4 linked regions of the Oryctolagus cuniculus genome follow. The protein of the gene in region 1 interacts with the protein of each later gene in a pairwise test. Links are inferred from orthologs where the notes say so. Each region holds a gene or a part of one and is shown in the gene's direction. Other genes may lie near its edges.

What was found.
Region 2: the proteins of SRC (region 1) and RARA interact in a two-hybrid assay, tested with the Homo sapiens proteins (2 studies listed by BioGRID). The link is inferred for Oryctolagus cuniculus from reciprocal best matches to the Homo sapiens genes SRC and RARA.
Region 3: the proteins of SRC (region 1) and ESR2 interact in a two-hybrid assay, tested with the Homo sapiens proteins (2 studies listed by BioGRID). The link is inferred for Oryctolagus cuniculus from reciprocal best matches to the Homo sapiens genes SRC and ESR2.
Region 4: the proteins of SRC (region 1) and VDR interact in a two-hybrid assay, tested with the Homo sapiens proteins (2 studies listed by BioGRID). The link is inferred for Oryctolagus cuniculus from reciprocal best matches to the Homo sapiens genes SRC and VDR.

What each region holds. Positions count from the first base shown.
Region 1 is NC_091442.1:21,212,478-21,216,784, reverse strand, and holds the start of SRC (proto-oncogene tyrosine-protein kinase Src), read left to right. Parts: upstream 1-1,449; 5' UTR 1,450-1,774; intron 1,775-2,225; exon of another isoform or gene 2,226-2,245; intron 2,246-4,307. UniProt on the Homo sapiens protein: Non-receptor protein tyrosine kinase which is activated following engagement of many different classes of cellular receptors including immune response receptors, integrins and other adhesion receptors, receptor protein tyrosine kinases, G protein-coupled receptors as well as cytokine receptors.
Region 2 is NC_091448.1:22,122,805-22,126,282, reverse strand, and holds part of RARA (retinoic acid receptor alpha), read left to right. Parts: coding exon 1-36; intron 37-1,813; coding exon 1,814-1,974; intron 1,975-2,067; coding exon 2,068-2,244; intron 2,245-3,389; coding exon 3,390-3,478. UniProt on the Homo sapiens protein: Receptor for retinoic acid. Retinoic acid receptors bind as heterodimers to their target response elements in response to their ligands, all-trans or 9-cis retinoic acid, and regulate gene expression in various biological processes.
Region 3 is NC_091451.1:6,196,638-6,200,197, forward strand, and holds part of ESR2 (estrogen receptor beta), read left to right. Parts: intron 1-2,530; coding exon 2,531-2,827; intron 2,828-3,560.
Region 4 is NC_091440.1:137,518,987-137,523,247, reverse strand, and holds the start of VDR (vitamin D3 receptor), read left to right. Parts: upstream 1-1,403; 5' UTR 1,404-1,519; intron 1,520-4,261.

The sequences.
Region 1 (4,307 bases):
CAGGGCATTAACACACTGCGCCACAGTGCCAGCCCCAGAGAGAACCCAGTTTTCAGGCTGGCATATGGAAGCTAAGAGATAAATGGTATGATCAACATCACACATCCAGGAAGCGACAGAGTTGAGACTTGAACCTAGGTCTCTGGGTCCAAAGTCTGTGTTTTAAAGCTGGGATCTCAGCTCTCGAAAAGCCCAGAACCTTCTGTTGAACTCCGGAGGCTGAACGCAGTGCTGTGCTGGGAAACATCGAACAACACAGTCTGTGCGTCTGCCGATGGCCCAGGTGTAAACACTCCCGGTGTGGCTGGCATCAGTGACATCACAGCGCTCGGAGGTAGGAGGGGCCAGCCCGGGTGAACAGCCCACCTCCTGGGCGGCCAGCGATGGCCTTTAGACACACATCCGTGTCTGAGGAGTGCAGAGGGCCGAGGGACCTGCTCCTCCAGCCGGCTGAGTCCGGGGCAGCCGCGGTTAATCTTTAAGCCAGCCTTGCAAACAGGCGCAACCATTTCACCAGCCCGGGAGGGCTTCTGCTGCCAGCCCTGCCGACGACTTCCGCAGGGACCCGGGCGGCCTCTTTCTCCTCTGCACTGTTTATCATTTGTAAGGCGCAACCCCGGCCACCTCACACCACAGGCTGGGGTAGCTGATGAACTTGAACCTGCTCAGCTGTGAACCCAGATCAGCTGCGGCTCCTGGCTCCCGGCTCATGGTACCCCGAGGCCGCTGCCCGCCACATTCTAGGGAGCTTCTCCCAGCTTTCTGGTGCTGCTCTGGCCGGGCCGGGCCTTGCTTTCCTACTCGTGCAACCAGAAAACTTCCCAGGAAGGAAAGCAGAGGCAGGTGCTGTGTTTCAAGCTTGGTTCAGGCCGGGTTCTCAGACCCCTGCCCTGACTGCAGGAGGTCAAGGAGCAGCCAAGGGCACCCCCCCTCCCCCCCAGCACCTAGCAGGCAGCCGTGGCCAGGGGGTCTCTGTGGCCTCAACCAGCCTTTTCCTCCAAGTCCCGACTTTCTGCCGCTGCCCCGCTGGGTCCAGAAGTCTTGGCTTCTTCAGGCGCTGGGAGGTGAACCTGCCTCCAGGTTTTGCCAAACTCTGCACGTCGGCCACTGGGCTTTGCCTCTGCTTCCCCTCTCAGAGGAACGCAGTGGACCTGCAAAAGTGGACGCCGCTCCTCCCGGCACCGTCCCTCCCGCCCCAGCACCCTCTTGGCAGGTCAAGGCAGGGTTCTTGCCAGTGCCTCAGTGTTCTCATCTGTGCAATGGGGTAACCATCGGTCACCAGGGTGCACTGAGCCACTCAGCTGGGTGCCGGGCGAGCTGCGAGCGCAGCGTCAGTGCAGACATTGCCAACAGCGGGAGAGGCGGATCGGGGCCACCGGAGGGCCGGGGTGCGGGGGCTGCGGGAGGGGGCGCTCTCAGGGCGGGGCGGGGCTTGTGGCCCGGGCCCCGCCCCCGCCCGGACCCTGGCCAGGCCGCGCCTGGGTCCCTCCCGGGTCACCGGCGGGGAAGCCATCCCCGCAAGCTTCCTCCTTCCTCCTGCCGGCTCCCGCCGGCCCCTCCTCCCGCTCGCGCGCCCTCCCTCCCCTTCCCCTCCCGGCCGCCGCCGCCTCCTCCCTTTCTCTCTCGGTCGCTCCGGGCCCGGACTCCATTCCGGCCTGGGAGCCGGCGCGGCCAGGCCGCCGTCAGCCCGCCCGCTCGCTCCGGCCCCGCGGTCCGCCCTCGCACGTCCGTCCGTCCGTCCGCCCGCGCGCCCGCGCGCCCGCCCGCGGCCCAGGTGAGCGCACCCGCCCTCCGCAGGCCCGGTCCGGCGGCGTGGCGGGGGAGCCCCCCTCGAGACCCCTCCCCCGGTGTCCGATCTCCCGCCCGGGGCCCCTGTGCCTCCCCCCAGGTCCGCACCCCCAGCCGAGCCGCGGCCCCCGAGAGCTGGGCGGACGCGCGAGGCCGTGCCCAGCGCGGCCTTTTGTTGCGATGCGGCGCGGGGAGGGGGCCGGGCGGGGGTGCCGGGGTCCTGTCTGCGCGGGGACCCGGGGGGCTCCATTCTCCCTGTGGATCCCCGAGACGCGGGCGAGCCGGGCCGGCCCCGGGGCCAGGTCTAGGCCACATCTGAAATCAGCGCGTCGGCGTCCCTCTGGCCCCCGCTGGCCGGCCTGGCTCCCAGCGCCCCGGTGGGAGATGGGGGCCGGCAGAGCCAGTCGGGGGCTGCGGTCCGGGCCATCGGGACCCCGCTGCCCTCTTGGGGCCTCAGGTAGGCCCTGGTGCTGCTGGCCTGGAGGGGACTGGGCCAGACAGCGCTGGATGCCCCCAGCCTCACCCCTGAGCAGGCCCAGTCTCTGTGGGCTTTGAAGTTGACAAAAGTTTTGGGGTTTCGCCACCCGGCCTGTTCCAGTGGGCTGCCTGGGCAGGGGCTGGGGGTGGTGTGAGTGCCCATGGGGGCCACTGTTTGCTCTGCTGTGTGTTCTCCCCCAGCTGCCAGCCCTCTCTGAGCTGGGGCCCTCATCAGTGGCAGGTGGGTCTGGCTGGGGCTGCCCAGCCTGGGGGGAGATTGGGGTGAATAGAAGGGGCTCACCTGTGTGGCCTGGGCAGGGTTTCCGGTGCCTCACTGGGTTCTGCACCTTGGGGAGCGTGGGCCCTGGGCCCCCAGGGGCCCCTGGGCTGAGGCCAGGCCCCGCCTGCCTGTGACTGAGAGGGGACTTGGTTTTAAGGCTGGGAGGGTGGGCTGTTGCCCAAGGCTGGGGTCCAGACACCTAGCCTTGACTCGCTGGGTGAGCCTGGCCAAGGGGCTGACCCTCGATCCCTGCGTGGGCAGCGGGTTCCTAGGGTGGCCGGCCTGTGCGCTTCTGCATCCAGGGCTTGGCGCGCAGTAGGTGCTCGGTGAACTTGGAGTTGGGCTGCTGACCCGAGCGGGCTCCCGGCTTCAGAAGAGCATGGACCGGGGCCCAGAAAGGCTCCTCCTGACCCCTAGAGAGAGCAGCAGCCCCGTGCCGCCCTGCCACCCAGCAGCTGCGTGACCCCAGGCAACCCACGGCTCCCTCTGGCCTCAGTCTTAGCAAATGGAAAATGGGCTGATGCGTGAACGCCTCTCGTTGATCCTCGGTGTGCCGACGGGGAAACTGAGGCTCAGAGGGGGGACGTGACTTGGTCAGGGCCACACCGTTGGCAGCTGCCCTTGAACCTCTCCAGCCGCTGCCCCGTGTGGGGCCAGGCACGCGACAGTGGCAGAAGAGACGCCGCTGCCGAGCCCTGGGCTGGGAGCCACGAGGCCCTTCTGGTGATGTGGTCTTTCCACAGCGTGTCGCCTCCCTCAGCTGACTGCCTGCCCCGTCTGCCAGGAGCACCCTCTCTCCTCTGAGCGGCTTATCTGCTCCTGGGCTTGGGCCCATCCTCCCGGGAAGCGAGGCCCCAGCCCGCTCTTGCCTGTCCCGCTGCCCTGCGTGGAGCCCGAGTTTTCCCCAGGGCTCAGCCTGGCTCCTGCTCGGGCTCCTTCCCTGACTGTGACCTGGGGGATCTCCCTGGTTCTCACTGACCGCGTGTCCCCAGACCTGCCTAGTGCAAGTTCTGGCACCCCGTATTGAGCACCTACTGTGTACTAGGAGCTCTGAACCCAGGCTGAGCAGGACTGTGTTGGGGTTGACAGTGGGAGTGGTGGGAGGCACTGGAAGGCTTCCAGGAGGTGGTGTGCCTGAGCTGAGCAGGGAGCAGGGGTTCCCCGACAAAGAAGGAAGAGGGCGCCCCCCCACCCCGCCTCCTGCTCACACACTTCTCAGGGACCTTGGGGCCGTGGGCGTGGCCAGCCTGGTGGGGGAGTTATGACCAGGTCCTTGGCCTTCCAGAAACTTGAATCTGGAAGGTGAACCAAGTTGCAAACAAGTTGCCAGATAAATTAATATATAATCGGAGATTGTGATAAGGCCTGGAGAGAGAGGCCTGGCGTACAAAGGAGTCTTGAGAAAAGCATGTAGGAGTTGGCCAGGCGTGAAGCCAGGGTAAGGGCTTGCCAGGCAGCTGAAGTGCATGTGCAAAGGCCCTGGGGTGGGGGAGGGTGTGCTGTTGTGGGCACAGAGAGGAGGTGAGCAGGTAAGAGGTGAGACCAGGAGGTGTGGCCTGTAGGACTGGCGTGTGGGTCTGAGCCTTCAGGTGGAGGTTGGCCATCCCATGCCAGACGGTACAGAACTGACCAGGGCACCTGATGGAAGTAGGTCTCCTACGGCACCGACTCGGGTCTTGCGAGGAAGAGGCAGGTGTGGCTGGGCTTTCGACGGCAGCGTCGGAGTTCGCCAGCAGGAAGGCCGCCGTCGTGAGGGCCAGGG
Region 2 (3,478 bases), on another chromosome or scaffold:
TGCAGAAGTGCTTCGAAGTGGGCATGTCCAAGGAGTGTGAGTGCCACGGGCGGAGGCCGGACTGGCCGTGGGTGGGGCCCGTGGTGCTCCTGCAGGCCGGGCCGTTGGGCCCTGTGGCTGTGTGTGCACGTGTGTCTGAGCATGCGTGCTGGGGCGTGTGGCTAAAGCTGCAGGGACCTGTGAGATTCTGGCTGGCTGTGTGTGTGTGCAGGTCCAGTGTGCATGTGCGACTGGCTGTGTGTCCTTGCATGTGCGTGTGTGTGTTTTTGCTCCCAGGGTTCCCTGAGTCCTTTCCGAGCGTGTGTCTTAGGGGAGAGGCCTGGGATCCGAGGGGTGCTGGGTGGGTTTGGAGGGCTTTGCATAAGGATTGAAAAGCCAGGATGTGGTGAAGCTGAAGATCTGGAGTTTGAAGACAGAATTGGGACTTCTCAGGTCCCAGAGAAATGGGGTCTTCCGTTTGGGCTCAGCTGAGGCCTGAGGGAGGGAGGAAGGGAGGGAAGGGCTGGACAGGGAGACCCTCTTGTGTTGAATCATGGGTGTTGCCGTGGTGACCAGTGATTGATGATGTCAGAGATAAATGACGCTGACAGACGCCTCCTTGTCTGCGTGGCCGTTGCCATGGAGCCTGAGCCTTGGGGGATGAAGAAGGGGGAGGGGTCTGCAGGACCCCCTAGCCCTTTGTGGGGAGGGTAGTGAAGAGGGAGGTGGGGAGGGGGCACTGCGGAGAGTGGTTCTGACTCACATCACAGGCAGTAGCCCAGACAGGAGCAGAGGGACCTGCAGTGTCCTGCTTCCTCTTGCCACAGGAGACTCGGTTGCCTTGTCCTGCCCCCGGGAAGCCATGGCTTCCTGATGCAGAGTGGGTGACAACGTGGGACCCACAGGCCCGGGACCCTTCACCTAAGGCCGTCACCTCCTCCTCCCTCTGCGCCCCCTTCCGCTCTTTTCATCGCAGCAGGATCAGGGTGGGGACCCTCTCTCCCTCCCACCAACAGCCCCCCTTCCCTCCCTCCTTCCCTTCTCCCGGCTGGCTGCTCTGTGCCCCGGAGCTGAGCAGCTGCCATTTCAATAGAATTAAAGCTTCCGAATGATAAACGTCTTGTCACAGCTGCAATTTTCTCTTCCCAAATTATCCCCCCACTCTCCCTCTCCCTCTCCCTTCTCTCCCCTTCACTTTATTGAATTTGCAGAATCGACATGAGTGATCTCCAAATTATGCCAGCGCCCCCCCACCCACTACCCCCTCCCCGGGCCCCCACCCCCACCTCCCTTCCTCCCTCGTCAGCAGCCGCCACCACTGGCCCTGTGAGTGATTGTGTGTCTGGGATAATCGGCTGGTAACGACCCCATCGCTTCTTTAAAGCCGAGCGGTGTGTGCGGCTCAGCGCCCCCGGTGATTTGTCAGCTCCCCGGCTAATGGGCCAAGAGACTGTCCTGTCGGGGCCCCCACTCTCATCCTGGGGGACCCTACTCCCTAGCCTATCCCAGGCGCCCCCAGGGACTCCTGCCGGGAGGGCTGGTGCAGATCCTACCTGGGGGCAGACCAGGCACAGAGGAGGGCGCTGCCCTCGAGTCCCTGGGGTGTGGAATGGCTACGGGGCAAGTGTGCGAGGCCACTGCAGGACTGTGGGTGTGTGCATGTGGGGCGGGTGGGGGTGGGGGCGTCTGGCTGTGTGTGGTGTGTATACCGTGTATGCGTGTGCATGGCCAGCGCCGTGACCTCCTCAGCGGGTGTCAGTCTGGTGGGAAGAGCTCTGGACAGGGCCGGGCTGTGGCCACAGCTGTCCTCCAGCCCGGCCCCTGCCCTCCACAGCTGTGCGGAACGACCGGAACAAGAAGAAGAAGGAGGCGCCCAAGCCCGAGTGCTCCGAGAGCTACACGCTGACGCCGGAGGTGGGGGAGCTCATCGAGAAAGTGCGCAAAGCGCACCAGGAGACCTTCCCCGCCCTCTGCCAGCTGGGCAAGTACACTACGGTACGGCACCCCTCCTCTGGCCCCACCGCCCTCTGCGGGGACCTGTGGGGGGCGGGGAAGTCCACAGAGGGCCTCACTCTCCCCCTCCCCCAGAACAACAGCTCAGAGCAGCGCGTCTCCCTGGACATCGACCTCTGGGACAAGTTCAGTGAACTCTCCACCAAGTGCATCATCAAGACCGTGGAGTTTGCCAAGCAGCTGCCCGGCTTCACCACCCTCACCATCGCTGACCAGATCACCCTCCTCAAGGCTGCCTGCCTGGACATCCTGGTGAGGATCTGTGCCCTGGCCTCCCAGCCATGCAGCTGCTGCCTGCCCTGGGGCCCCACCTCTTCCCGTCCCCGTAGTTAGTTAACCTCCCCGCTTGGCTGCTTGCGTCCTGCTATGCACAGCCTCCCCACTCCCCCACACGTGCGTCTCCCGGCCTCACCCCGTCTGTCCAACGGCCCTTCCATCCATCCGCCCACTGCGTCGTGAGATTCACCGCGCACCTTGCTGGCTGTCGGGAACACTGGGGTGTTGGCCACCACCTCCCCTCCCGAAAGCTTCCGTGTGACAGGGGCAACACATACGTGAGCAGAGGTCGCGTGGAGGTGGGGAGGCCGTGGCCGCCTGCCCCCGAGGAGGCGTCCTGGAGGAGGAAGTATCGAGGGGTTTGTAGGAGAGGCACGGGGGGTCCCTGACTTGGGTGCAGGAGGCGGACAGATGGACGCACGGCCTGCTGCTGTGAGACCTGCCTGACTCGGGGGAAGGCAGAGTAGTTGGTGGAGCCCTGCATGTGGACAGGCAGGGCAGGATGTGGGGTAGTAGGGAGACTGTCAGGACCAAGGCTGGAAGGAGGACTCTGCTCTGTCGCCCCGACCGGGCCTCAGTCTGCTGGTTCCCTCTCGGCCGCCTCTGGGTGCGGAACCTGGGATCTGAGCAGTCTGACGTTTTCCTTCTGTGCCGCGGAGGAGCTGGTGGGGTGGGAGGTCTCGGGTTCTGCACGGGGGCCTCACAGCCCCAGGCCCCAGAAGCAGGAGGCACAGTCAAGCAGGCATGTATTCACTACCCGCTCCCATGTGGCTCGTCCTGGAAACTAGCCCTCAACCCGCCACGCTCCGCACCTCCTGCAAACTCTGGCTTCCCTTAAACTCCCAGGCCCGCCCGCACCGCCAAGGCCCGCAGCTGCTCTCGCGGGCGGGGCGGCTGTTAATTAACACCAAACTCGATTCCGTGCCGCATCGCAGGGACTCCACGGCCACTTGTGGCTGCTGGCTGCCGATGGGGATGGCGCCGACCCCGATGCTTTCCATCAGGGTAGAGAACTTGGTTGGACAGCGCCACTCTGGCTGCCTGCCTGGTGGTCGTCTGGGGTGCGCTGGGCCTGGAGTGCTGGGGCTGGATCCCTACACCTGTGCGTCTTCGGCCTCCAGATCCTGCGGATCTGCACGCGGTACACGCCCGAGCAGGACACGATGACCTTCTCGGATGGACTGACCCTGAACCGGACCCAGATGCACAA
Region 3 (3,560 bases), on another chromosome or scaffold:
ATGATGGTTCAGCTCAGAATGTGATTCCAGTTTGAAGGATTCCCACCTCCATTTTCTGAATTCTGGCCCATAAACCTGTAAAGACTGAAACATGTTGGTACCAGCACAGGAAGAGGAGAATAGATATGTAAAACAGCGGAGAATCCAGAACAAGAATACTTTATATATCATTATTTATTAAGGACAAAGCATTTTAAATCAATGTTTAGAAAAGCGTATTTAATAAATAGTATTGGTAAAATGTGCACTCATCTGGGAAACTGTACCATGAAATATCAGTATAATAGAGAGCTGCATAAGATTCCAAATAGATTTGAACTGAGAAGATGAAGGAGAATGTTTGTACAAGATGGTGTGACAAAAACTCACCACGAGCATCGTTAAAGCTTATGTAGCAAACAAGACATATTGCACGTAACCAAAGTTAGCTGTCACTGCAGTATTAGGAACCTTTATAATAATACATTAGAGGAAAATAATATAAAACAAGATATATAATATAAAGTTGTATATTACATAAATACATTTTAATAAAATAATACAATAATATATTAGAGGATAAAAGGGCAAAGTAAGCAAGTAGGCAATTCATAAATAAAAAAATACAAAGCAGATTTTTTTAGTCAACAACCTTACTACTCATTAAAGAAATGCTTAGTCATTTGTCCGATTAGCAAATATTAAAAATGATTTTTAGTGTCCCATGATATGAGAAAATAGGTAGTCTTTAAACCATTGTTCAGAGTATAAAATTTTAAATACTTTTGGAGAACATTATGTCAATATATATTAAAATTTTAAATGTGTATATGCTTTGGTTCAGCAGTTTCACTCCAAATTTATTGTAAGGAAGTACTTAGATATGCATCTAAAAATGTATTTCCATTTGCATTTAATATTGGCAAAGCAATTAGAAACAACCTAAATATTCATCAATAGGAGACTTCAAATAAGTAAATGATGTTATAGAACAGAGTGCTATACAGTTTTTAAATATTTGTAAAATTGTTTTAAATAAAAACCCAAAATGTAGATTATAAAATAGTTTATGTACTGATTATGTATGAAATACAGAAAATTACAAAATATAAAAAAGTCAAAGAATTTAGATCAAAATTCACTTATATGTTACATATTTTTAAACATTAATTTGTTTTTGAAATATACTTGTTTAAAATGTAAAAAGAAAAACTCAGGAAACTTAGGCATGCCAGCATGCCTTAAAAGAGAAGTGGATTCTAATTATTCTTAGGTGTTTAAATTTAACTGAAAATTGATCCCTGTTAAAAATAAGAGTGGGAATAAGAGAGGGAGGAGACGTACAGTTTGGCACAAGCTCACTCAGACTTACCCCTAATGGTAGAGCTAGAAACGTGCCATGGGACTCCAAATTCCATTAAGTTGGTAGGTACCAATGCCATCTTACTAGTTAAAGTGATCAGTTTAAGTTCATAATTGATCATAAAGATAGGATTAAGTGTCAAAGGGAACACATAAATAAGACCAGTGTCTGCTAATTATAATTGATAGAATTAAAAAAGAGAGAAGGACCCACCATGAGAAGCAGGATACACAGCAGACTCATAGAATGACAAAGGCCCTTAACAGCACTCTGGCCTCAGAATCAGCCCTTAAGACATTCAGATCCGGCTAAAAAGCCCATGAGAGTTTCTCAGGCATGGAAAGCCAAGACACTTTGGCAAAAAATGATCTAAATGAAAGATCTCTGTGAGTGAGATCCCAGGGGAAAGAGGGGGCCATCAAAGAAAGAGGTACCATTCTCTGAAGGGAAGGGAAAACTTTGACTTTGATTATGGCCTTGTCTAAATAAGGTCAGAGTTTGTGAACTCAAGAGGCTTCCATAGCCTTGGCAGCTCATGACAAGAGCATCGGGTGATTACTGATGTAATAAAGAAGAGTGTCAATTGTTAAATCAACAACAGGAGTGACTGTGCACTTGCTTCCCATGTAGGATCTCTGTCAATGTGTTATACTATGCAAATTAATGGTAAAACTAGTATTCAAACAGTACTTTATACTTTGTGTATCCATGTGGGTGCAGTCTGTTGAAATCTTTACTTAGTATAGAGTTGATCTTCTGTATATAAAGATAATTAAAATGAATTTCAACGAAGAATGGGATGGGAGAGGGAGTAGGAGATGGGATGGTTTGTGGGTGGGAGGGAGGTTATAGGGGGGAAAAACCGCTATAATCCAAAAGTTGCACTTTTAGAAAACTTTTATTTAATAAATATAAATTTCCAAAAAAAAAAGTGGATTCAGTATCCATAGATAACCCTGAAATGGGGAGACCTGAGAAGTTGTTGGTGTTGCTGATGTCACACCTGTAATGAGCACTGCTGGGTACAAGCCTCCAGGGCTCCAGATAATCACAGCGAAGCCTCCGCTGTCAGACTTGCTTGCTCTGAAGATGCACTTGCTAGGGGCTTTCTGTGATGTCACTGTGTCGTTTTCACCCTGGCCAGTCGGGGAGCTGGAATGCTGGTCATCGTCTGCTTTCGCCCCGCAGGCTCCCGGAGAGAAAGGTGTGGGTACCGCATAGTGCGGAGACGGAGAAGTTCCGGCGAGCTGCACTGCCCGAGCAGAGCCAGGAAGAACGGAGGCCCTGTGACGCGCGTCAAGGACGTGCTGCTGAGCGCCCTGAGCCCGGAACAGCTGGTGCTCACCCTGCTGGAGGCAGAGCCGCCCCACGTGCTGGTGAGCCGCCCCAGCTCGCCCTTCACCGAGACCTCCATGATGCTGTCCCTCACCAAGCTGGCCGACAAGGAATTGGTGCACATGATCGGCTGGGCCAAGAAAATCCCCGGTAGGCTCCCTGGGTGATTGTGTTCCATTTGTGGGAAGGCCTGCCCGATGTTTAGGGGCTGGGGGTACAAAGTGGAGGTCCCCGGGCTCTGTCCACATGTTTACAGCTTGCCGTCTTGATTCATAACTTGTAAATGAGGTTTGTTTTTTTCCTTCTGTCTTGACCCACATACCCTCAGGTGTCCTGGGAGGCAGTTTCTGACTCAGGAATCTTGAGGCTTCTGGGTTCTTCTATATTATGCATGGTAGTGCAGGAGGAGTTAGTTGTATGTGACCTGCCCTTTTCTTTCAAGATTGATTTATTTATTTGAAAGTCAGAGCTGCAAAGTGAGGGGGGTCGGAGAGAGAGATCTTCCATCCGCTGTCACTCCCCAGCTGGCACAATGGCCAGGCCAAAGTCAGGAGCTTCATCAGGGTCTCCCACATGGGTGGCAGGGGCCCAAACACTTGAGCCATCTTCTGCTTCTTTCTTCAGGCCATTAGCAGAGAGCTGGATTGAACGTGGTGGGGTAGCAGGACACGAACTGGTGCCCGAATGGGATGCTGGTGTCACAGGTGGTGGCTTTACCAGCTAACACCACAATGCCAGCCCCTAGCCCTTCCATTTCTATTCCTCACTCTTCTTTCCCCATCCCCAGATCCATCCGACACCACGGAGACACATGCTCCTCCTATGTGTCCACATCATCTGTTGGCCACTTCTGTGTCCACGTGTGGTATGGGAGGAGACTCAC
Region 4 (4,261 bases), on another chromosome or scaffold:
GACCCAAACTGTGATCTGAGCATCCCAGGAGGACACAAGAAACGGGAAAGGGTGTTTCCTGCAGAGGTTCTGGTGCGGGGCTCACAGCCCTCCACCCAAAGCGGCCAGCCACGGCTCTGCAGTGCATGGGTGCTGGCGGCCGCCAGGCTCCCGGCGGGCAGGGCAGGGGAGAGCAGGAGGCGACCAGCGAGGGCACCAGGACGCAGGAGTGGAGGTGCGCATGCCCTCTGGCTTTCCCACTTGCACAGAACGGCCATTCTTGTAAGGAGAAAAAGTCCCATTCCAAGTAAAGCCAGGACATGCCATCATCCAGCACAGGCACATGGCACGCGGGTCCTGCCACAGACAGCCCTGGAGCTGCCAGGCAGGCAGGACCCGGGAGAGGAGAGGTCAGTCAGGAGCTGGGGGACTCTGAGAAGAACCTGACTTTGGACACGGCCATGGGGCCACAGTGCTGGGGACCAGAGAAAGCTGACCTTGCAGGTCTGCAAACCCAGAGCCTCTGCGTTCTCTACAGCTGTGGGCGACAGGGCAGGGAGGGGGGGCCTGGGCGGGTGGCCTGTCACTCCCAGTGCTTGTCGGCGCTGCAGGTCCTACCCACCTGAGGTTGTGACGAGGACCCAACAAGAAACTCCCTGGAGCCCACCACACACTAGAACCTCTGCACAGAATGCGCACTGCGCACTGCTGTGACCCGGGGCTGTGGGGTGGCACAGCCGGTCTGGGGAGCTCGCGCCCTGCCCTGTTTGCCAGGTGCCAGCAGGCCCGCCCCCTTCAGAGGCTGCTGGGTTCTGAGAATGCTGGGGGGGGGGGTCTTTCCAATTTCCAGCCACCAGGCTGCAGCTCCCGGGGTGAGGGTCTATTCCTAAATCCAACCAAACCCAGGCCGATGCTCTTCCCCAAGAACAAGTGCCCCCCCCCCCCAGGGTCTTCCTCCAGGGGTCCTCGCTGACCTGGATAGGGAGAGGACAGGGGTGACAGCTGCTCACTCCCAGCGAGCAGCAGGTGCTGGGGACTAATCACAGCCGCCCCGCCTCAGTTCCCCTGTTCAGCGAGCCCCTCTGAGACCGCCATCGACCCATTCCTCCGTGCCTAATGGAGGCCACCAGCTGCCGGCGACCCAGCCAGAGCCCAGGCCGCAGCAGGGCAGCAGCAGGGGCGTTTCCGGCACTACTGCAGGTCTGGGGAGCATCTGGCCCTCGGGCCAGGAGGCTGAGGCCGGCCAGGGAGCGGTGACCACGCGAGCGTGGGCCGCCCAGGGGGGCCGCGAGCACCACAGTGGCGGGCAGGCGGAGGTGCGGTCCGACGGCCAAAGGCGCGCGAGGCTGAGTCCACCGGCCACAGCGCGTGGCCGACCCAGTCGGGGCGGAGCCGCGGGGGCGGGCGCAGGGCGGGTCCGGGCGCGAGGCGGGGCCAGGTGCCAGGCGGACACCCCCACCCCGCCCCCTCCTGCTTGTCAAAAGGCAGCCGCGGAGCGAAGGCTCCGGGACCGCGAGTCGCGAGCCCACCGGACGGACAGGTGGGACCCGGGAGCGGCGGGGCGGGGGTCCAGGCGTCTGGGCGTCGGCGCTCCGCGTCTGAGCGCAGTGCCGGCTCCGGAGCCTGTCTCAGGGCATACTTGGCACCGAGCTGCGGGCTCCGGGACCCTCAGACCTGACGCAGGGGGACTGCAGGGCTGGGGAGTCGCAGGCGGCGGGCGGTGCGGCGGTGCGGCGGTGCGGGAGCGGGAGTGGGGCCCCGGCCGTGCGCGCGGACCTGGAGGGTCCCGGTGCCGCCTCTCTCGCGGTCTGCGGAGCCCACGTGTGGTCACCTGCGATAGTAGATCTAGGTCTTCCAAGTATTTTTCTTTTCGGGACTTCTCTTTAAGTACCCTCAGTGGGTTCCGGTGCGTTTGGTTTGTTTTCGCGAGCGCCTGTCCGCAGACGTCCAGGAGAGCTCCGGGCAGGCGTCCGAGCCCCGGAGGCTCAGGGCGGAGCTTCGGTCTGGGCAGTGAGGGGAGCCGGGGTGAGGAGCGGCAGAGGGAGGGTCTGGGACTGGGGGCGGCGGATAGCTGCTCCTTCTCCCTCCCGGGTCTGCCCCAGCGGCCGGGAGCCGCGGCCCGCCTTCCTCACCACCTCCTCCTCCATGCGCCAGTGAGTCAGCCTCCTGTCTGTGCTCAGAGCAGCCAGAGGGGCCGCAGCCCTGGCAGGCAGCTGGGCAGGCATGTCCCGAACACCGCAGAAGCGCTGGGCAGAGTTCAGTCCTGCTCCAGCCCTCTGCTGCCGGCCAGGGGGTGGGAGGGGGCCAGCTACAGCTAGCCTGGGGCTGGCTGTGGGCTGGTTCCAGAAGGGGTTCGTGGTGAAAGATGTGGCTTTGTGTAAATTCACATCTCAGCCCTCTGCGAGGGTGGGCAGTCGCGTCCCGCCCCATGGTGTCTCTGCCAGGGAGGTGGGAGCCCGGCCGGGGTGGGGGTGGGTCTTCTGCACCCTGGGCTCTGGACTCTGTGAGCTCAGCGCCGCATGCAGGGGCCCAGCCTCGGCCCCTCGCTGTCCAGCCGCCGAGCCAGAAGGTAGTGAGACTGCAGCTTTATCCAGAGAGGCTCCCCAGCAGAAGCCGGGGCCCAGAGCCCACGGCTGCCACTTAGGGCCTTCCTTTGAGCTGCTGGAGAATGACCTGGGAGGCCAGCCGGGCACAGCGCTGACCGAAAGTGCGGGAAGCTCAGCGTTCCCGGGCTGTGCGCTGACCGGGGTCAGGGTTTGGGCTCTGTCCGGCCCTGATCAGCTGCGACCTGCCGAGCTGGAGGAGAGATGGGAGAGAGACGCAGCCGCCAGGCCCCTCTCCTCCGCCCGTGTGCCCAGGCTGCTGTGGAGGGCCTGCGTGGTGTTTGGGAGCCCCGGTCGCTTGTACTCACGGCTCTCCGAGTGGTGCCACTCTGGTCTCCTCTGCACTCGGCTCCAGAGGAAGCTCCAACAGGACTGCCTCAGCTCCTCCCAGGGAGAGAGCAGGTGTCTAGCCTCCGGCCCAGGGGAGGAAGGCCTGGACCAGGTGATTATCCTAGATGGGGAGAGAGTCCAGGCCGAGACCGGCCCCCGGAACTCCTGCTGCTCCATTGCTGGGCAGAGACCGACGGGGCCCGGCTTCCCATGGTCCCTGTATGAGCCGGTTTGGGAAGTGAGGACAGGCGGTGGCCGTGGGCTGGCCCCCGCTGCTCTCCATCTGTGGCTGAACCAGGACCTTCGTCCATTTGTGCTCTGCTCTCTGTACCTGTTCCCCGTGCTGCCGCCCTACTATACTGGGTGTGCTGGAGTGACTGTGATTTAGCCTCCAAACCGGGACACTTTTGAGACTGGAAGCGGCGCTATGTGCTGGTTCAGCCAGGACAAGGGACACCAACTGGACTGCGCGGGCCCTCCCCGTGGGGGCCGAGTGCTGCAGGCTGCTCGCGGGAGTCACAGCCAGCCCCATGCTGTCGCTGGGGTGGCACAGGCCCCAGGGGTGACTTACCTTCACCCTGGGCTAGCGCCCCACTTGTACCTCACACAGGGACAGAGGCCTGCGGCTCCTCTTCTGCCCTGGGGATTCGGGGGACGGCGGGGCCAGCCCCACGCTTCCTGTTTCCCTGCTCAGCATCTGCAGCCTCTGCGTTTTCTCAGCACGGCTTTCCAGACCTCTGCGCTGTGCCGTCCCACAAGAAGGCAGGCTGCGTGCAGGTTAACACCCAGGAAGGGAAGGGCCGCAAACCTTGGCCTTGTGGATAGAGGACACAGGTCGCTGTAATCAGGCTCTGGGGCAGTGGTGCCCAAGGTGGAGACCAGCGCCACGGGGAGGCTGCCTGGACTCTCTGGCCTGCTGTGACCACTGGGGAAGTGGTACAGGGTGAGGGCGTGTGGAGGGGAGACTGCCCTCCCTGTGCGTCCTCGTGGTCAGGGAAGGCTCCCTGGAGAGTCCCCAGACATGCGGGGTGCAAGCAACTGCGGCATGGGGTGTGGGGGCGCGTCAAGACCTCCTGGGAAGTCCCACCTTTAAAGCGGGGGAGGAGGGGGCGGGCAGGCTGGCCGAGACTGGCGGCGTGGGCCGCTCTGAGAGTCTGCGTGTGTCATGCCTTACAAACCTGCCCAGCCGGTCCCGTGCCAAGGAATAGGCCCGGCAGTGTTCCCAGAGCAAGGCGCCACAGTGCATCCCTGCTGCCCAGGGAGAGCCCCGGTTCTGACAGGCGTGTGGGCAGCTGCACCAGCGGGAAAGTGGATTGGGCAGCACCAGCGGCACATCCCACACAGCCGCT